Styela clava: one gene and its partners. Each later gene encodes a partner of the first gene's protein in a complex. Links are inferred from orthologs where the notes say so. Each region holds a gene or a part of one and is shown on either strand. Other genes may lie near its edges. The genes, in order: eukaryotic translation initiation factor 3 subunit H-like, eukaryotic translation initiation factor 3 subunit J-like and eukaryotic translation initiation factor 3 subunit F-like.

Region 1 (7,357 bases):
ACCTAATACGAAAAAGCAGTTTAGGTTGCTCATTTCTGTTATAAGTGCCATTCAAGGTTACAGTTTTCAATTTACCATTAGATCTTTAAATTACTTACTACAAATTCGTTTATAAAAATTCAGCTCCCTAGCCCTACCCTTCGTCACCTACCGTATGTTTTTATCCAAATTGTATCCTATTCTCAGAAACAGAATTCCGAAATGCTATGATTCAGTTTACTACCTAATTCGACATTCAACACGAACAACGGAAAACATTTTTTCACATTTATTTTAGATGATCCAAATTATCATCAGCATCACGGGAGGTTTCCTTTTAATCATGATTACGTCAAAGGCCTTCAATTCGAAGATCAGCATTTGTCTCAAGGTGGCGCCCCGGAACACATCGCAAGTAGTCAACGATTACCTGTAAATGATTCCTATCCTGCGTGTTATCCCTACTATTTTGCCGAAAATATGTATGCAGATGAATACATGGATTCAGAATGCAGCCCAAACTTGAACACTGGAAATAAAATGCCACCCTATGCGCACGAGGACGCCAAGAAACCCGACTATGGTGCAAGCCCCTCAAACAAGAAGCATACAAAACGCTCAGATGAAGTTGCAGATTTGGAACCTAAATTCCGATCACCCTGGGAACTTGTGCAGAACAAAAAGACAATGCCTGAAATGAAGTCTATCGTCGCTAAAGATATGTCACTGCATCAACCGTCTGATGAAAAGAAACCGTCACCTGCCGGAAATAAAGACTTGAAATCCCCTTGGCAACCCGTGTGGAAATACAATTTTCCACATCTTCTGATGGAAGATACGCAACTAGATCGCATCATAGAGCTACCGAAGACAAAGCATGGAGGAAAAACATTCCAAGTCATTCCAAGGCGACGAAGGTAAAAAGTCCATAGGTCATGGAAGCATTGCAAGATAAACGGAATTTCTAACTTGTTTGGATTACATAGCCAACTTCATGTTTATGCATATATTATTACGGAATTTTTCAGGTCAGAATCACCTTCGCCAGGAGGCAAGAGATCTGTCGGAAACAATCGGCTAGGAACTCCATTTGTTGACAAACCGGTAACTCGGTCTGAACCTGATGGAAGTGAGTTTATATATTGCTTCACGAGGAGATTGACGATTTAGGCAAAATTTAAATGATATTTTTGCAAAACCATGCCGATTCATAACTTCAAATTTTCATAGTTACGACAGAATGTAAGCTTTGCCTAAAAATCCTATTGCTAAATCTAATAAACTGGACAACTATTCTCTTGCAACTTGTACAGGCATGGTGTAGTATTGGCCAGTACATCATTAAAATGATATTAGTGAAAATATCACCTACAACTTTTCCAGATTCTTCTCCAAAATGTGAATCAATATGGAACAAAAGTCGACAAAGCAAAACTTTTTTGAAGGATAATGTTACGAAGCAGATTGCTAGAAGGTACATACACAATTGTGTCTCATTTCGCCTAGTTTATTAAGTAACTTTTTGTCTTCACTACCAATTCATTATTATTTTAACACTTTTCGAATAGAGACAATCTCATAGCTGTTTTTATATTAGGTACTAAACCACAAATCATTGGTTGGAAACGTTTTTTATATATCCGAAACGTTTATACATTGACAGGCAAGAAAACGGACACACGTTTTTGCAATTAGATAACAATGGTTCATTAGAATCTCCTTCTCCAAAGGTACTTTCTTATAGCCGACATTTCACGCCGTCCCCAGTACACCAACACTCGCAAAATGAAAGTGACACAAAGAAGGAAGAATCGGATTTTTATGCGAACCAATACAGGTATTTTGTAATAAATTTTACCAAGCAAATCAAGCCCTAGCCCCTCTTATGAAATTATGTCCGACTTGGACCATAAAATTGAATAAGGCATAAGCTAGAAAGATGCAATAGAATTGCAGTGTTTTTTATAAATCATTTTATGCAGGCCTTATCATGAAAGACCCATTTCCACTGCCTCAGACAAATCACGTGATCAAGAGGAAATATCTGAGAGGACAACAAGGCCTAATCATAGTTTGAAATCAGAGAATTCATACAGAAAACTGAGCAAAGCGGTCAATTTTGCTCCGAGCACCTTTCCTCGAATGCCCCCACCATCTTATAGAGAATCTGAAATGACGGACGGAGTTGAAGATTTTGTCGAGAACAATGGTAGATACTTTGACAATGGAGGATGTTTTTATCCGAACGAATTTGGCATTCGGAACCCACTGGGTATGAGCAGAGAAAACGCGTTTGTAAAGCGACAATAATAGAGCCGATCTAGATGGCCTGAATTAAGTAAAACGAAGCTTGTAGACATGTGGCTGATTTCTTTTATTTGTTATAAATTTGACAATATTGTTATTTTATAAACACTATAAATTGTATATATTACTAGCTTTTTTACATGTCATTTCTGCAGTTCCGGCAAAATTTCACTTTTCAACCATGCCGTTTCGATCATAATGTATGAATTAAATTGTCTCTGCTCTTTAGAATGAACGATATGGTATATACAGTAATGGGTGTCTCCAAAATGTCGTGCCCCAATGTACCACGTGTCCAGGAGAAGTGGGACACGTGGTACCCGACATTTTGGAGTCACCGTACAGGTATGATATACCGGGACGTAATAATGTTTTTCGCAGCGAACTATTGTCTTGTGGTTTGTTGGTACCGAACGTGGTTTATCATCATTTAAACTGGATAACTTGCTTTTCATATATCTCCTTGTAAAATTATTGTGCGTAATGGCGTCTTCAATAAAACATCTATATTTTCATTCGATGTGGATTTTGGCATTAATATTTTACAGCAACAGCAAATGCTATGTTCAGATAAAAATATTTAATTCACAATTGAACTCCAGGCACCGGCTGTGTTTCAGCTATTAGATTAAACTACCAACTTTCGTGATATAAACCAAACTGCTCTCTGTCCAAATGACTCTTCTGAGAATGCAAAATACTAGATAAGGGTTGTTAGATTCAGTTAGAACAGGGTCGTCCAACCCGTGGCCCGCGGAAGTATTTCGAGTGCCCCGCGCTGTATTCTTTAGAATTCATTAAAAAAAAAGTTGAGTATATTTATCATTCGAGTGATGTAATGTGCAAAGATATGATACAAACGATATGCTTATTTTCCTGAAATGCGCTCTGCCACCCCTTTCAAGATGCAATAGTCGCTACGTATATACATAAAAGCCATAGCACATACATAAAAGCGAGCTAGCCCCAGATTGAAAATTCGTTAAGAAATGTATTTTTCGGGTTGTCAATGTTTCATGTCCGGAAATAAAAAAAAGGCGTTTGCAAAAATAGGCTTGTCAAGACAGACGGTTCTCGTCTTGTTGAAAAGCTTGGGAATTCTATAGCAGAAACTTTAATTGCAGTGGCCCGCGCACTTAATAGTAAACTAAATGTGGCCCTTCAGTCAAAAAGGTTGGACGACCCTAAGTTAGAATATGGGATTTGTCATTTTCTGGCAGTATTTCACTGTACTGTAAGTTCATCATCTGGCAATGATTTTAAAGTCATATTGTCTCCACGCACTCCACGACTCCACGCACAATGAAATGATTCGACAGTGATCCTCCCATCATATTTGTTGTCCACTGTAGGATAAATTTGTATAAAAACAACAAAATTACGATTAGCACAGTTTCACAGCCATAGCACAAAGATATATATTTTCATTGCATAGCACAAGGAGCTAGCCTAGGAAAACGGCCTATCCAACAAATCGCTGTAAATAGATGAGTTTTGTATAACTTAGCTTAGAAGGCTATAATATCAAAAAGTCAAGAGTTTAGTCGTACCTAAACTATCTATATCTACCTTTAGCATTTCTCCTGGATTATACAGACGCCCCCTCAACAATATGCAACCAGTGAGCGCTGGCTCCTAGAAACGATTGGTCGGTTAAATGTTTCGTGTCGAAAATACGCTACCGGACGCGGCACATGGAACAACAATAAAAAACAGTACTCGTGAGACGCCAGCGGAATACTGTTTACATTTCCCACCGGGGAATAACGAGTTCATAAATTCAGATGTGTGAATAGGTTTGCTAATCGTCAAAATTTCATTTTACAAAATACTAAACTATAAAGGGTAATTAAACTTTTTAGAGTGTTTTAATCACAATATACTTGCACAACAATCGTATTCAACTTTTATTGAAGCTGAAATTTTATCCGCATGGGATACAGTTTGATTTCGCCATTTCACCAAACAGTGATACTACAGACACATGTCACGGTCGCATACGCCACTTTGGCATACACTACAGCTGCTTAATTTTGCGCGTTGCAGGCTTTTGTAGTTTTAATCGCAGGTCTCCCTTGTTTTTTCATTGATTCTTTGCGATGGATTTGGGAATTGGAGCAACGGTTAAAAATGTTCAGATAGATGGTTTGGTAAGTTGTTGCTTTTTTTAGATAAAAAAATCGTTACAGTTAATGCCTTTCAATTTTATATTTGAAAACTCAGAAGGTTGACACTCAATAATACCGGTATCGGTACCCTGCAAAAACTCCACCAGTCCACGGTACCGTACCATATGTCCGTAGTCTATGTATGCCTGACCTCTATTGTATATTTAAAGAGGTGTAGGAAATGGAACATTGTAACTACCGGTATGTCTGCATGTAAAATAATAATTCTACTGTTATAATGTCTTTAGTGTATAGTCTACCCTCTGACCAGTGATAAGCTGGAAAAATCATAACAACCGGAACGCACCTAATTGCAAAAATGTAATAGGCCTATATATATTTGCAACACAACGCGAACATTTACAGAAAGTTTTGTCTGTCCTAAGATAGAGCCGAAGGACTGCAAGGAAATATGAAGAAATTATCTGAAATATGTCGGTGTAAAATTACAAGAATATTAATAGCAATTCAACACAAACATTATTATTAGAAAGGTATAAAATGAATTTCTATGGGGTCAATGGTCCGGAAAACATCTATGACGCGCTACTGCTGTACTAATTATTTGCGTGATGTGATGTAAAAAGAATTATGAATTATGATGTAACAAAACATGAATTAATTAACTAAGATTACCAGAGGAATCGACTTTTTGTACCATAATTTTAAATCAACAACAGGAACGCAAATGCAATAAAATGTCCAACAACTGGAATGCCTTTCCGGTGCGTTCCGGCTACAGCTCACCACTGCCTCTGACCCTAGTAGACATCACAATTGCATAAAATGACTTATTAGGATTTACATATATTTATCTCGGGGAGAGGAAATCTGGTGAGACGGCTTAATCATATAACATACCTCAGCCTCTCGTCCAGTTACCAGTCCATGTTGTATGGGATTGTTAGCCTGTTATTTGTTTCAAATACATTGACTTGCAGATTTGGTGGTGGAGGAAGCTGTAAATGTGAAGCGGTTATGTTAACCACCCTAGGCCCCCAGGATTCCAGCAATCCTTTTAATTATCTCCAACAGGATTTGAACCTGAGAACCCACGCAGGGTAATCAGAGGTGCGGTGGTGAGCGTATTCCTATTGCTGTAACGCTTAGCACGATACGCCATACCACCAAGATTTATGTACTTCATTTTATAACACAGGTTGTCATGAAAATAATCAAACACTGTGAGGAGGACAACACCGGACCAGAACTTGTGCAGGGAGTATTACTTGGACTTGTTGTTGGGGAGACTTTAGAAGTCACCAACTGTTTTCCGTTTCCTCGTGTCCCTGAAGATTCAGAGTTCGATGAAGGTTGGTTACAGTACTAAATAATTTGTTTTCTTAATTTGGTTTTTATTATTTTTTTGAGATATTAAGTTTCATAGGGCTTGGGATGTTCGTTTGTGCATACTCTCATTGATATTAATTTTTTTATCTTTTTATATATTTACTATTTCTTTTAATATACTAGGGATTACAGTCCAAGTCGCAATCTTTTCTTGTTATTTTCGCTATTTATTTTTATTTTGCTATTCAACTTATGAATCCCATGAATATAAAACTAGTAGGCCTATCAAACTAAACATTTTTAATTACTCAAATTCAGAAAAAAAAACTAGCAATATAATGAAGCCCTTGAATTACATGTTGTAGTATCACGATGAAAGTTTTGCAGAGCTTATGATACTTATTATACCCTTTACAGTTCAATATCAGATGGATATGATGAGATGTTTACGTCATGTTAATATAGATCATTTACATGTTGGATGGTATCAATCATCATTTCATGGAAATTTTATCAACAGACCTTTCCTAGAATCCCAGTTTTCATATCAGAATGCCATTGAAGAATCTGTTGTCCTAATATATGGTAAGATTTCTTATATAGCTTTTAATGTTCGGATTTCTATGTATTGAATGTATGATGTATCAAAAATTAATGTTCTTTTTTTGTGTATGAAATAATGTATTTACTCTGACATAAAAATCCTATTTAGATCCACTGAAAACAGGACAAGGAAATCTTTCACTAAAAGCTTTCCGTCTTACTCCAAAAATGATGAAATTGTATGAAGCTGGTGAATTTACAGTAGAAAGGTAAATATATGTTACACTCATAAGGAGATAATAACTATTGCTGTGATGATAACAGTAGTGTGGAGGTTGCTATATGCCCATACACTGTAATATGTATGATAGGATTGGTTTTAAATATTAGCCATTTACTTCATGCACTATTTTCTATTTTGTTTTCTGTTGTTGTCATTTGTTAGAAAATTACTTCGATTGTTTTCAAAGAATCACCTCATAATTTTTGTTATTTCTAATTCAAACTTCCTTTCTCCATTACATGGATAATCTCAAATAATCTATACTCTCGAAGTATGTGAACCAAGATGGCGGACACCGGAACGTAGTTTGTGTTCCAAGGGAGGGTTAGGCCATAATTTTATTCCAATTTTACTCATTTAGTTATATCGGCTCGAGGACTAGCCAAGTGACTCCCGTAGTATTTGTAGTTGAAATTAACTGGTAAACATACTATGTACCGGTGTCCGCCATCTTGGTTCACATACTTCAGGAGTACAAAAAAAACTAGTGTCCTGTGTCCATATCTTATTTGTCTGTCAAGTATACTCTCAGCTGTTCGTTTAGTTTGGATTTGGATAAAACCTCTCTCATAGTTGCCGGTATTTTATTGTACTATTCTCAGCTAAGGTAATGTGATTTCTACTTTATTTTAAGCCTTAAAGCTCAGAAGTTGGGCTTCACAGATGTATATGAGGAAGTTCCTATAAAAATCAAAAATTCACCTCTTACTGGACTCATGTTGTTTAAAGTAAAAGATGAAGATCCAGTACCGGAAAAAGTTAATTATTTGAATCTTGCTCACAAGTA
Region 2 (7,432 bases), about 5.1 Mb from region 1:
CAACACTAATTAATTAATAACTCGCTAATTATACTACATAATTCATCCAAAATCAATAGGCTTCTGGTACGACATATGATGAATGCACATGCAAAACTGGGGCAGATTCAATCTCGCTTTCCTGAGATATCGCGTGCATCTAATAGACAAACAAACAGACAGACAGATACCTATCAACATTCTTACCAATTAAAATCGATAAGTAATAATGGAAATAACAGATTTGATCACAGTGAGGGAATTGGCTGCACTGTGGCATATTCAGCTTAGCATTGAGAATATGCTTGCTATCATGATGGCAAGAATCCCTTGGTGAAGACGCAGTCTCAAACCATGAATGAAAGGATTTCTGAACACCATACAAAATGATTTTCATAATTAAGGTACAAATTTTTGTGTGTGTACATATATTTTCAATTAATCTGTAAGTCGTCAAAAATCTAAAACATACCCTTTCTTGTTTTGCTTTTTCACTTTGTAAAACATTCAAAGAACTTATGAGTTTCTTCAAAGATTCGGCATCAACTAAGGAAAAGCAGATGAATGAGAAATGCATTGAATATTAAGCAGCTCTGGATGCTTTATTTGTAACAAGTCCTATCTAGAAATATTGCAATTTAGATCAGGAAAATCAGTCAGACAACAAAAATATGTCAGGACATACTAGCTGTCTCCATTATTGTTTCCCTAAAGTAATTATCATGTTAGTTATTATTCATCAAATTACTGATTAATCTAAAAGGATCCATATGGAAAAATTCCCAAAGTGTTTCCAATTTCCAAATCTGCTCGACTAAATTTCACAGACATTTCGAATAGAAAGTCCATTTACAGATGACCCTTTTTAATATAGGCTAGTTACAGATTTTTGGAAGAACCCCCGAAGGTTTGCTCCTTAATAAACATCTACCCAGTCTCATTTAAATACGATGGTTTATGTGACGGATTGCCAGTAACTTTGGGAAAAAATATTAATTATATAGATGAGACTAAAAATACTGTAATAAAACAACTCACGACTTAAGCAAGAATTCCGAAATAAGGTTTCAAGGAAGGATTGATAATGCGGAGACGATTCATATTTTGAGAATTTTTCTGAAATTAACTTTTCGAAATTTATGAAATCTTCTTTAGTTCTTGGATCACAATTGTCTATTGTGATCAAATCAGCAGACGTTACACCTGAAAAAAAAATTTTTTTACACTTCATTCGCTTATGTTGCTGCATTATCACCATTTACATCCTAAAAGATTTCCCCTAAAAATAAAGCAAATTGTAACCATAATTAACCATAACCATAAAACTGACTTCGATATGAAATTGCCATCACAAATTACTATTCCTAGAGTTTTCTTTGTAAGACAGTGTTCGATATAAAAGCTACTTATTTGAAGAAATTCATGACAAAAAATCAGTTATTTTGCTTTATTCTACATATGTTTAACAAATATCAATCAAAAAACCAACCGAATGTATCTTTAGCAACTTCAAAATCAGATTCTTCAGATAACTTTTGAGCCATCAACTTGTCAGCCATAATTTCTTCTGGCGTTTTCTCTGCAAGTGCTGCCAGCCTTTTTGCCTCTGCTGCTCTAGCTGCTTGTTCTTCTTTTTCCTTTAGTTTCTTAGACAGTGCCTTTTTTGTACTTTTCTTTGGTTCTCCTGCAGCTGCAGCTGATGAAGAAACAAAAAAAAATCATGCAAGGCCAGGAATTCAATATAAATTTTCAGTCAAATATGAAGTGAATTATTTCACCAATAATAATAATTTGTATCAAACCTATAAACTGGAAAGCAAATCCAAATTTTGAGGATATCAGTTGAAATCACTTGGACAGAAAAAATTGTTCAATCACTCAAACAAAATATATATTTTTTTTTTTTCAGATAATAATTTTTTTGAATTATTGAATGTGTAAATAGATATTTTCAAATGGAAGAATTCAAGAATGAAACAAAACAAAGTCTTGGTTGATTGGTAGTAGAAACAGCAAAAACTAATTGAATCATTCTAAAATAATATTTTCAGATATGGATTCTATAAACTGTGCCTTCAACGAAGAGAGTCTTTGTATATTCAATGAGTTTGCTTTGCATGTTTGTTGGTCATATTATAAAACTTCCGCTAGTCAATATGATGATATTTAAAACAAAGTCAACCAAAATCTGAAAAATTAATAAATCAACAAGGCTTTTATATTAAAGAACTCAATGGCAAAACAATTACAATATCGAGGGTTCTAACCTAAAAGGGGGAAACCTGTTTGAGAAATTGAGAAAAACCTATATTTTTAATTTTGAATATCCTGTAACTTTTTATTTAACTACTTTTGAACATTGTTTCAAACTATAATTAGATTACCAGCTTAAAAAACAGTACTTATTTCTTTGTAATATTTTTAAATAAAATATTTTTGAAATTTCAACATTAGCCTTGGTCTTGTAAGTTGAAAGCCTAGCTATATTAAACCTTGATTCGGTGTTTCTGGCTTTTTCTCTTCCTCTTCATCATCCCAGTTATCTTTGATGTCATCCTCTTCATCTTCTCCCTCCCACAGATCAGTAGCTGGCGCAACGGGTTTGTCAATAGTTGGAGGTTCAAAATCTTCATCTTCTGTTATTGTAAAAAATATCCTTGTTCACATACATGTAACAAGTGATGAAATAGAAAAAAAAATTTTGTATGATTTAACCATATCTTAACGGTAGTTGTTTGATTAGGAAATTATTTAAATAATTAAAGTCAATTTTACATGTCAGTGCGGTAATACTGTAAGGCAATAATAAAAAGAAACATTAGCATGAACAATATCTAACCCCAATCAGCCATGATTCTTTATTCTAATTGCAGAATTGGCAATATCTTTCTTCGTTCAACAGGATTTGTACAAAGTCAGAAAGTGTTCTCAGTGATAAAACTTCCAGTCACAGAGTCGGGGAATAAAAACTAAAACCCGATGTAGAGTCAGATCAGTGAAGCAATGTGTGAATGTCAGAATGTCTAAATATACTGACTAAATAAAACACAACCTGGAATAATGCAATGATCTAGTTGCTGACTTCAGAAAAAATAAAGTTGATTCAGTGATTGTAAAGTACTCTACTGACCCTATGTTGCAATATTCACAAATAATAAATGATGTACAGTACAGTAGTAAGGAATAGAAACAGAGCATTGATACAATGATATAATCCAAACCCCTCCAAAACCTTCTTCACAGACACCGATCCACACAACACATGTTCAAGCAAGCTGGTACCGTAATTCATGGTTGACAGATCTGTTGGTTAGAACGATCCTCTATTTCTACAAAATACTAATTTAAATACTAAATTTGTCGACCATTTTATCTCTTAAATAAATGAAAAATGCCAAAATAATTTATATAATAAGGAAAGCGAAAATTTTAAAACAATTCTAAAATTAATCCAAGATATAAGGTAAACTGCTGGCTCCAATTCTGGCAAGATACATGAGAAATCTTGGGCGGATTTCCATTTCTTCTCTCTCGCGCCTTATGGCGACTAGTATTTGATCATTCGCCATGTTTGATGGGATAGGATTTACATAGCAATCTTCTCGCTGAATCCTCATCTCCTGTTGCTGAAAAGCTACTGATCTTGACGTTCTAAATTGGGTTAGCCCGATCCCAAATTCCTTGGATTTAAACCTTTTCTCATAGATTTCCATCTAATACCGGAATTTCATTAAAGAACTTTACTTTTATCAAACATTTTATCTGATTATATTTTTCCACCCACTCCTCACAACTTTGGTCTGTTTAGTTTCGAGCATTGTCGGAGTTAAGATTCTGCGGGTAATTATCTATTCTTGAATGATAGCAACTCCTTGAAACAAGAACTATGTGACAGAATTTAAAATTGCATGCTTACCTTTTAACAACAAACCAATAGAAAAGTCACTTTTCTGTATCGTTATTTTGAGAGCAACATGAAATAAGAAGCCCCAAACGAAATATTGTGTCAAAATCATGGTTCGCAGATGGCATTTTGTAATTTTGATGCACTCTTAACAAACTCGGAAGCTCATCTGTTGTGAATCTTCTCTGTCTACCTTGTATGCAGAGGAGTTTTCCGCTTTTCCCACTTTTCATGTTGCACATAACTCTATCGTAAAATCAAGATCCCAAATTCTCCAATTCAGTTCCGAAATACTAACCCCATGGTGGACAATTAAACATGCTATCGACAAAGATAACCTGTGATTTTCTCGTTTGTGGGTTTTCGCAATCCCAATTCTCTGCGAAATCAACAAACAGACCAAGGAAAGTTGAGAATGATTTACTTAAAACTATTTAACCTACATTATTGGTGGCTGATCGTGCTAACTCAGCAATTGGATCTTTTAGAAATAAGTTGAGTGCCCGGCTTAATGATAACAGTTTTGATGTAATCATGTTTATGCAATGCATGAAGTGACAAAACAAAGTGCTTACTCCGATTTTTTTTATCGTATGTAGCCTAATTTACTAATTTTAATTAATCCCGGAAATGAATTGTGTCATCAGTAAATTATATTGTTTATCAGCCAAACAAATTGATAATCCACTGGAATTAATATTAATGACTGTGTGAGGTAAAAGAATAAACATTTCAGTAACTTTTTGACCTCTACCTCAATATTGGACACAGAATGTCAATATGGACATATGTCAGTTTTTATTAAGTTGTATCATATTGATTGTGTACTCATCTACAATTTCTGCAAGATTCACCCTATATGTCATCTATTATTGAATGCATAGTCAAGGATGAGCCCGAGCAAACATCATCAGGAAGTTAATATTTTAGCCTAAATGTTTAACGGACTATAGAGGGCAATTTCAGACAGATGAATGACTTACAACAAATTGCGCGCAAATTAAATCGTAAATTAAAAGATATGGAAATCTAATGAAGCTGCAAGGTCGACAGTCAACTATCGAACCTCAATTATATGATACTCGAACCCGATTTCTGCCATGCAAGCTATAGAGAGAAGGGCGGTTTATAACAGGTAGGCGCTAGAAGCCCTCTATACGCCAAGGCGCAATCAGCTGGGGTTGTTACGTTATTCGTGATGCGATAGTTACGTATAGTTTAATATAGTAGGCAATATTAGTTTTCTATATACACACAAGAGGTGAAGATACCTTTACAAGTTTATCAGTATGACAGTATGGAAACAATAGTCGGCGCTGACACGTAATCTCATTCACGAAGTGTCACAAAGAACAACAAGCTTTATACAATGTAATCCAAGCAAATTCCAAAGAACCAGTAGCTAGTGAAACTGGTGTTGTACAGTGATACTACAGAACTTCGGATGACAATTTGAAAAAAAATATGTGAGTAAAATGGGTTGCTTCTCCAGCAAATCAGTGGAACCGGCAAACTCATCGAATCGTGTGGGAAATCATGTATCACAGGGTAGCAGGCAAAAACGAATTTCAGGTGATAGTGGTATCAGTTTAGAAACGGAAGAAATAGTGAAGTCTGCAGACGAGGAACAAATCGCAAATCATATCATACCAAAGAAGGGTAAGTTTTGTTATTCACAGATCTATGCTCTAAAAAATAACATAACTCAAATATATTTCATTATCAGCAGTATATTTAAATAACACGCCATTGACTGCTACACATTTTTATTCGAAATTTATATCAACTGAATTTAATATAACTTGCAATTTTGTCGCTGGTACTACAAGTATTAATATATATATATGTCTCAATTTATACCAAAATTTCATTTTTAACGCGGAGTAGTGATAAAGAATTCAATCTTCGCTGCGTGAAAAATAGCGTGAATGATCTTTTACCCCTATAATACACATTCTTCTAATTTCAGGCATATCGTTCAATATACCAACATCGTCAAAAAGTATTATAAGAAGTCATCCACCGAAGCGTTTAACGGTAAACATAACAATTGTCAGCTTAATACTAATAGTAAGAGATAATAAATTGTAATCAACAACTGGAAATCCGATCAGGAAATCAATAATATCAATTTTTTTATATATTTTTATGGAATTAGCGCGTTTGAGTTGGATTCGTATAATACACAAAAGCACTGAATATCATCAAAGTAAGGTATTCACAGTATCGGTTTGGGATAATGTTGTGAACTTGAGATATGGGAAAAATGTTCTTTTCCATATTGTCGAAATAACTCAATATTTGTTATATTTTAGTCACGACTGGAAGTATCAAAAAATACAAAATCAACGCTAGAGCCTTTTGGCTCAAATTTAAACAGGAATGAACAGATTAGGCAGGTTTGTGGCCGCGTCATTTTTAATTATAAAAGGATGATATTTAAACGTAATATAACTAATACCTACTGTTCTTGTTTGCTTATCCTATGACCTATACCAATCAGAACGATTTCTATCTGAAATGGAATCTCGAATGAAAGTATTTTTTTGATTACTTTTCACAAAATATTTTTTTGCCATTCAATTTGAAAACTTTTTATCGTAGATTATATATTTCATGCAGCACGACATATTTACTTTAAGCCTTCTCGTATTTCGCATTCACTTAGCATTCAGAAATATTCTCATTAGTGCCCTATTATTTTTATTACTTAGAATGAATGATTTTGTTTTTTGTTCTGCACTAGAGAAAGAGGAAATATTTGACTTGTCCATCAAGAATAACATATTAAACCCGAGGGGATTCGTAAATACCGTTTTCTCAGCACATAGAGTGATAACAAAGTGGCGACAAGCCTGTTTTAGCCAAATTGAAATTTGACACAGTTACGAATTGAAATATTTATATAGTATAATATCGTCACGCTAATAACCGAATTGCGTAAGTCATTTTTGATGATTTTGAGTTTTTCATAAAATAGGTATTTATGTAATGCTGCGCACCTGTCTGTTAACTCAGATTTTATTTTAAGAATTCCGAAACCCCTAAAAATGGAGATTTAGTATGACATGCACGTTTGTGCAATTGTTTCGTCATAATGAATTATCAGTGTTCCAGCAGGACTATTGTGACGTCACAAAGGCAAAATAACCTCGCCGAAGTATTTTCGAGTTTTTGCATCTCGGATTCTAGCTTAGCGCGTATTAATTTGAATTTATACTACAGTATAGGAAGACGTGCACTTGTGATATTCACTGTCCGAGTCCAATTCACCTTGGTTGGCTTTTATATTGGGTGCATTACTGTTTTATTCTTTATATTTAATCTTAGTCTTATTTCGGTGGGTTTGCAGAACGTGTTATATTGATGAAATATATATTTTTAAACATGAAAAATAATGTAATTAAAACAGATTAGCTATTTTGGGGATTAGACATTGTAGATACTGAGAATTACATTCGTTTCTGGAATGTTTAGTTTTCAGAACTGGTGCATATAGTAAAGTTGCAAAATTGCGTATGTCCCCAAGTCATAGACACATTTCTGCCT
Region 3 (7,142 bases), on another chromosome or scaffold:
TGGATTCCACGCTCTGTATTCAATCTTTATGCCATCATTCTGTAATTATATAGTTGAAGTTGAGTGAATATCGTTCTTCCATAAAAAACAAGAAAGTGATATACAGAGTGTCAATATAGCCTTTTTTAAAACTGCAAAGGGAATTTGTCGATGCCATATATTGTTTTGGCACTGACAGGTGTGTTAAATTGAATTGAGAACTGATTTCCTAACAAAATTAAAATTGTAAAGGGACTTTATAGAGCAGGGGTCGGGAACCTTTTTGGTCAAGAGAGCCATAAAATATACATATTTTCAATTGCATTTCCATGCGAGCCATATAACATTTCTTCACTTAATCAGGCCTGAAATGTTTACTCAAAAGTCAACACATACAATGTCAATATACATTTAATGTGATTTCTGATGCTGCATGTAGTCGCTGCGGGCCTTGAACGGTTGCTCACATGCAGCACAAGTTGAAATCTAAGATACTCATCACCCTTTTTCGTTTAGGCATCTCCGTAGTGTTTTTAAAACTATATCGCTTTGTGAAGTCACAATATATGTTCCAGATTCCCCTTGTTTGTCACAATGCCTGTCTGGTAATTATCTTACACAACATAGACATGTGCTGGACGCGCGTTCTCAAGCGTACTGGGAATTTCCTGCCAAATTTGGCTATAAAAGAGTTTGAAATCTCGTAACAATAGTAAGCTTAGTCTTGGAACATTAGATTTTTCTGGGAGCCATATGCCGTCACCAAAAGAGCCATATATGGCTCGCGAGCCATGGGTTCCCGACCCCTGTTATAGAGTATAGACGCTCTGTATAAAACATGTGTTAAAAAAAGTTTCCTCTTAACTATCATGGTCCTTCATCCAAACGTATCAACATGTTTACACACTCCAGTTAATTGGATTTACATATTTATCCTGGGAAAGAGAAAAGCCGATAAGATGGTTTAACCATATGCCAAACCAGGGCCTTTTGTCCGGTTACCAGTTTATGTTGAGTATGGAATTAGTTAGCCAGTTACTTGTTTTCGGAAGTATGGTAGTTCGTAAGTTATTTTATAGATATTTTTGTGGGTCTTGTTTTAATGAGAAAAACCGAGAATTTACATTTCATTGAATTACATTGGATACTGCTTGTAATAACATCCAGAACACACCATGGTCGTGTATTTTGAGTGACTAACCAGTGAGCTATTTTCATACCTGACTTGGGCTGAAAAGATATAGTTTTTCTCATTATTAAATCAACCTATTGGCTTTCCCATGATAAAATCACCTCTTTAAAATCGACCAAAGCAACTTCGCAATTTTTTTTTTAACTGCGAAACACCATAGTACTCCTAACTTCCTTACAGGGAACACTGTTCCCCAAGATAAATCATATTTAATCGAATATATTCATAAAAAAAACATTCAATTTCACGAACCTCAACTTCCACTTTCTTTTCTCCATAGACGGTGTTCCCGGGTACAAGATTTTTCGTCAACAAAGCGTCATCTTTTCCTCTAGCTACGAATATTCCTGGATGCTTATGGGGTTCAACAACCGTTGACCTTCCACCTCTGAACCCTCCTCCACCTCGACCTGCCATGAATAAAGTCAACTTCAATGTAATATCACAGAAAATGCCATCACATGGCACAAACAGAAAAATTAAATCAAGCAAATGCTGCAATAATGACTTCAGTAAAATTTGCTAGAGAACAGCAGTACAAGCACTTTCACGTTAGAAGTTCCAGTGGCTCTTGGCATTTCAGAGGTCGGTTGCAACTTTGCTCAAAAATTAGTCTGCTTTACTTCTGATTGAGTGGGCGTAGTTCTTGGCAGGAGTGTACCCAGGTGGGTTTAGGGGTCGGAACCCCACACTTTTGTGAAAAAAGGATTTTTCTGTGTTATACATGAAAATTTTTCCTATCCTCAAAACGTTTTTTTAGACATTTAAGTCTCTTGAAAACCCACATTACTGCTTCCAGCCGGACCCGCCAGCTGTCTAACTCAAGTGCAGTTTCAAGTATTTTGTGGCGTCTACAGCTGCCGCAAAACCATGGCGGGATTTCCAAACCACGGCCACTAAGACCAAACCCACGGCGACTGACTTTTTAGCTGCCACAAACCAATAGCGAGCTGCCGTGGTTACGGCAGCAAATCGAATACCACCAATTTTAATGCCGTAACCACGGCAGGTCGGCTGTAATAGCAGGGCTGCCCCTAATCTGCTGATGGTGATAAATATTTGGTGAGTTGGAATGTTTTTCTTATGGATACAGTTTGGATGGATTTGGGGTTAGGGTTAGGGTTTAAGTAGATATAATTTCGCATGATAAACTAAAATATGGTACATGAATTTGTAAATATACCCGTAATAGCGCCATAAAACCATGGCAGGAGACGGCGTGGTACGTTCGTGGCAGGAGCTGCCATGAAGTGGTAAGAACTGCGCCTCGTCTAACTTGGCAATTAGAAATTTCAGAACTCCCTCTTAAAAATTCTTCTGTTGTCGTTCGTAACTCTGATCAAAGAGGAGTATCCTTCATATTCAAGTGACTATAAGTGTCTTTGCTTTGGACAAAAATGTGATGTGAAAATGAATGCTTTGAGTGCTTAATAACGCCAAACAAATCTTTTATGCGTCACACAGACTTTAATGTTAATTACATTAAAATTTCACATCACATTTTTGTTTGGAGTTATTTGAGCAGTTGCGGCGTTCACTTAACTACACCCCAAAATCCTGTAAAAATAACATTGATAAAGAGTAAGTCCAACTTACCACGGGGTCCTCCTCTACCCCCGCCTCGGCCACCAAATCCGCCACGCCCACCTCCGCCAAATCCACCACGCCCACCTCCACCTCTGCCACCGAATCCGCCTCTGCCGCCCCCTCTTCCTCCTCCTCTAAAACCCCCTCTGCCGCCACCTCTTGGTGAAAAACCTGAAAAAAATGAATAAAAGAAAGTTTTAAACAATAAATATGAGATGAACCCGAGAAACTTAGAAGCACAAAATAAAATTGAAAGATTCAACGTACTTTTGATAAGGATAGGATTTACATATTTACCTAGAGAGCGAAAAGCCAATAAGACGACTTAAACATATGAGCATAAATAACAAGTGGAAACCTATCAAATATTCTTGTGACACATAATGTTCAGATGTTACTCTATTATGCTTACTTAAACAAACAACACATCACTGCTGTACCGTAAAAGCGCCCAACTTCGGACAGTTCCTAACTTCGGACAAAATTTTTGAACGGCCATATCTTGGATAAAACGCGCCGTATATTGCTAATTTTAATTATTATAGGTTGCGCTGTTATATTACCGTACCACATAGGTATAAGTTTATATCGACAGAATAATCAGCATAACTGGCGAAAAATGATTGATAAAAACAAATAAATAAAACTGATCGCAGAATCAGGAACGCTAACAAAACCTTAAGTAAGGTTTACCTTCAATTTATGAAAATATCACACAAGTGTTGAGCCAGCATAATTAATATACAAAATACTATATTTATATTAAACACATCAAATAACTCACCAGGTCTCCCCATTTAGAAGATAGCACAAAATCCTTGATAAAGTTCAGTAAGTCACAACGCGAATGCAAACCAAGAGCTAACGAAACTTTAACAGCGCAAATGCAGCCAAGAGACCAGCGTGAACAACACACGTGCAATGGTAAGAGTCACTCAGTCGTATCATTTTGCTATATACGTCATGTTTCGTGATGTAATTTTGAGGGTACGTTATGAATTAAATATTTAAAAATATAGATAAAATTATAATAAATATATTTATATGTTTGTTTTATCTTTATATAATTTTTTCAATAGCTGGAGATAAATGATTTTTGTATAGTTGAACACGGAACCACAACCGATAGTTTCCTGAGTAATTCACTTGCATACAGTTACAAGCCGAATCCCAGGTTTTTGAGTTCACGCCTCGAGTATTCGAAAAATACCTGTTAAATCTTACAAATCTTATCTATTTATGATTTTAAAAGATTTTAATATTGTGCTAATTTACATATTTTCCATCAGATAACTCTTAGTACATTATAATATTATAAAAATGTCGGAAAATCGGCGGGTCTGCGTTCACCCTGTGGTTTTATTCACCATTATTGACAGTTTCGAAAGGAGGAAAGAAGATGCAAAAAGAGTAGTAGGAACACTTTTAGGTAAGAATTGTAAAATTAGTGCTTTTTAATTGTAATTTAGTTATGTGACAATATTAATTCATTAGTAATATTCATTTGTGCTTTTTTTCTGCAAGTTTGATTTTGTTCTTGTGCAATCATGAGTATTTCAAAAGGAAATCAACCTATAAACAAGTCACTGGACAAGCAGAGATCTAGAGAGCTCCTTTTAACTTTTCAATTTTAAATATTTTTATTTTAATTGCTTCAATTAATTTTATGAATACTTCAAATGGCTTCTTCGTCAATTCGATTATAATATTAAAGTATTCATATTTCTTTTTTCACTCGTATCGTGAATATTTTAACTTCATAATCAGCATACAAAACGAAGAAATAATTGATAAAAACAAAACAAAAACGAACAGAATAAAGGTTGGAAAAAGGAAAACATTAAAACTTACAGAATCAAAATATAAAAGTGATGGTAGAGGAAATGGCTTTACTGACAGTAGCATTTTATGTTGCTCTCATTTCCTATCACATTGCTGATTTCTCTATGTCAGGGATGGCGAACCACTTACCCGCGGGTGACAAAGTGACCCACCGCGTTTTATTCTTGACCCGCCGAGGAACGAATAAAATAAAAAAAATGCTAACATATCAGTGATAAAAGTTGATGAAAATGGCTTTCAATTATTCCAACAATAACTAAACTATTATAATGTACCGTCAGTTGGCAGTCAGGGCTGCGATCGCTCATATTCAAATTGTTAATTTTCGGGTCGGTATGGTAATTTTCCAAACTCCTAATCTTGTACGGTATCTTGTTTTTGGTAATTCGTACTCTAATTTCATAAAATAGGGTGTCATAAAAAGTCCCTGATAGAAGAAGTGCTGCATAAGTAAAGCCCAAAACTTCACCAACACAAACAGAAGCTTAGGTTCAGGAGTTTCTTATAGATACAAACATTGCTTAAATATCTGTGACCCACTCTCTTCTGTTCCGCGATAAAAATATAATTTTTGACCTATTCATTGAAAAAGGTTCGCTACCCTTGCCCTATGTCTAGGTTAAATCTTGTTGGAGAAAAATATGTCATGACATGAGCTCATCAAATCTTATCCTAACTTCTTCCAGGTACTGTTGATGCAAACGCAGTTACAGTCACGAATGCTTTCTGTGTTCCTCACACAGAATCAGACGATGAAGTCGCATTTGACATGGAGTACGCCAAGAATATGTACGACCTTCATAGGAAGGTCAATACAAATGAAGTGATCGTTGGATGGTAAGAACAGTTTTCCACATTTGGTTTGTTCCCAAGCACACTTCTCAGATTTCAAGGATGTCCTCAGGAGAATATTTATATAACATAAAAATTAAATTTTTTTTTCAACGGGGCATCTGGTAAGACGACAGACGCATTAAAAATGACGATTTCGCAGTCTTTAAAAATAACTGCGAAGGTGTCACTCACATATCGCAAAAAAAGTGCGCTAATAGTGAACACTGCGGTGCATGATACCAATAATAATAACATTTTTTATCAATAAACACTTCTATTTATTCTTCACCAGGTACGCGACTGGGCATGACATTACCGAACACTCTGTACTTATCCACGAGTATTATACGAAAGAAAGTAAAAATAAAATGCCAGTTCATCTCACTGTTGATACAACACTGACTAACGGAGAACTTGGATTCAAAGCATACATAAGGTGGGGAGTAATGAATAATAAAAAAAATTTCATGAGAATTTTTTCAAGGCAAGGTAATAATGCACTCCCACTCAGAGGTAAAAAAGATTTGGTTCTGAGTGAAGTTGCCTTGAGCTACTGTAAGTCTGAAACTATGTAGATTTATTCATTATAGGTTAGTAAAAGCTGATTGACGAGACTTTAAGCTGTTTAAATCAGGGTTGTCCAAACTCAGGCCCGCGGGCCACATGTGGCCGGCCGCTGCATTATCTGTGGCCCGCGCCGGAATCAGAGGGTAATCAAAAAATCGCATTTGGTGTTGTTTTGCCATAAAGTTAATCAGAAAAATCTTTTAACATATTGTTACATCACTGATGTGACTAGTGTTATGGCACTTTTTTCCAGTACACCTGTAGTATGCGTCACAATAATAGCGGACAACGGAACGTGGTATGTGTACCAGGTTAGGGTTAGGCCATAATTTTATTCCAATTTTCTATATTTTAGTTATATTACTAGTTCTGGGACTAGCTATTTGTACGTGAAATTATGGTCTGACTCCAACCTGTTACACAAACTACGTTCCTGTGTCCGCCATCTTGATTCACATACTACAGGAGTACCATTTTCCGTCGAAATCTTACACTAAATGTAGATATAAAAAGACTTATGCAGGTTTTTTTTGGTGGTTTTTGCATATTTTAGCTTGACAAAAGACAAATACTGACAAGTACTTGTTTTGTATTGCACTGTTTACCTATTCTTGGCACTATTTGTGGCCCGCGAATAATGCTAAAATAATTTTGTGGCCCTCGGAGTTGACAACCTTGGACCACCCTGGTTTAAATCTAAAAGTATGATCAAGGTTGAACACAATTTTATATCAATTAGGTGCCAATTTAAGTGATCCTGGAATACAATAATATATATCTTTTCTTTTTACACAAGCTCACCCATTGGAGTCCCAGGCAAAACCCAAGGAATGATGTTCACACCCGTTGATGTGAAATTACTTCAATACGATGCAGAGAGGGTTGGAGTCGACAGAATTCAAACTGTAAGTATTTATGACTCCTTGCACCACCCAGATCTACGCATCTGCAATAATCAACTTACTGAAACTGCAAGACCCTAGTACTCACCAGGCGAGATTAATGTCTTCATAGGATCTTTATTTGTACAATTTAGTTCAAAGCAAGATACAAGCTCTCACGACCCCTTATGTAATAATATCGGTATTTCTGAAGTATGCGTACCAATCTGGCGGACCCCAGAACGTAGTATATGTACCAG

Evidence for each region.
Region 2: eukaryotic translation initiation factor 3 subunit H-like (region 1) and eukaryotic translation initiation factor 3 subunit J-like share a complex: the UniProt entries of both Drosophila melanogaster proteins name them as parts of the eukaryotic translation initiation factor 3 (eIF-3) complex. The link is inferred for Styela clava from reciprocal best matches to the Drosophila melanogaster genes eIF3h and eIF3j.
Region 3: eukaryotic translation initiation factor 3 subunit H-like (region 1) and eukaryotic translation initiation factor 3 subunit F-like share a complex: the UniProt entries of both Drosophila melanogaster proteins name them as parts of the eukaryotic translation initiation factor 3 (eIF-3) complex. The link is inferred for Styela clava from reciprocal best matches to the Drosophila melanogaster genes eIF3h and eIF3f1.

Annotation. Positions count from the first base shown.
Region 1 is NC_135257.1:9,053,420-9,060,776, forward strand, and holds the start of eukaryotic translation initiation factor 3 subunit H-like, read left to right. Parts: upstream 1-4,259; 5' UTR 4,260-4,385; coding exon 4,386-4,436; intron 4,437-5,613; coding exon 5,614-5,767; intron 5,768-6,161; coding exon 6,162-6,329; intron 6,330-6,456; coding exon 6,457-6,556; intron 6,557-7,204; coding exon 7,205-7,354; intron 7,355-7,357. Other genes in the region: uncharacterized protein LOC120345504, read left to right, coding at 278-896, 1,008-1,108, 1,363-1,453, 1,643-1,816, 1,962-2,289. UniProt on the Drosophila melanogaster protein: Component of the eukaryotic translation initiation factor 3 (eIF-3) complex, which is involved in protein synthesis of a specialized repertoire of mRNAs and, together with other initiation factors, stimulates binding of mRNA and methionyl-tRNAi to the 40S ribosome.
Region 2 is NC_135257.1:14,144,064-14,151,495, reverse strand, and holds the start of eukaryotic translation initiation factor 3 subunit J-like, read right to left. Parts: upstream 3,090-7,432; 5' UTR 2,832-3,089; coding exon 2,819-2,831; intron 2,616-2,818; coding exon 2,472-2,615; intron 1,676-2,471; coding exon 1,469-1,675; intron 1,183-1,468; coding exon 1,018-1,182; intron 526-1,017; coding exon 452-525; intron 1-451. Other genes in the region: uncharacterized protein LOC120346066, read left to right, coding at 5,359-5,542, 5,853-5,920, 6,199-6,282. UniProt on the Drosophila melanogaster protein: Component of the eukaryotic translation initiation factor 3 (eIF-3) complex, which is involved in protein synthesis of a specialized repertoire of mRNAs and, together with other initiation factors, stimulates binding of mRNA and methionyl-tRNAi to the 40S ribosome.
Region 3 is NC_135253.1:21,922,397-21,929,538, reverse strand, and holds the start of eukaryotic translation initiation factor 3 subunit F-like, read left to right. Parts: upstream 1-4,028; 5' UTR 4,029-4,078; coding exon 4,079-4,187; intron 4,188-5,286; coding exon 5,287-5,437; intron 5,438-5,726; coding exon 5,727-5,870; intron 5,871-6,797; coding exon 6,798-6,906; intron 6,907-7,142. Other genes in the region: rRNA 2'-O-methyltransferase fibrillarin-like, read right to left, coding at 1-39, 1,424-1,581, 2,768-2,929, 3,543-3,555. UniProt on the Drosophila melanogaster protein: Component of the eukaryotic translation initiation factor 3 (eIF-3) complex, which is involved in protein synthesis of a specialized repertoire of mRNAs and, together with other initiation factors, stimulates binding of mRNA and methionyl-tRNAi to the 40S ribosome.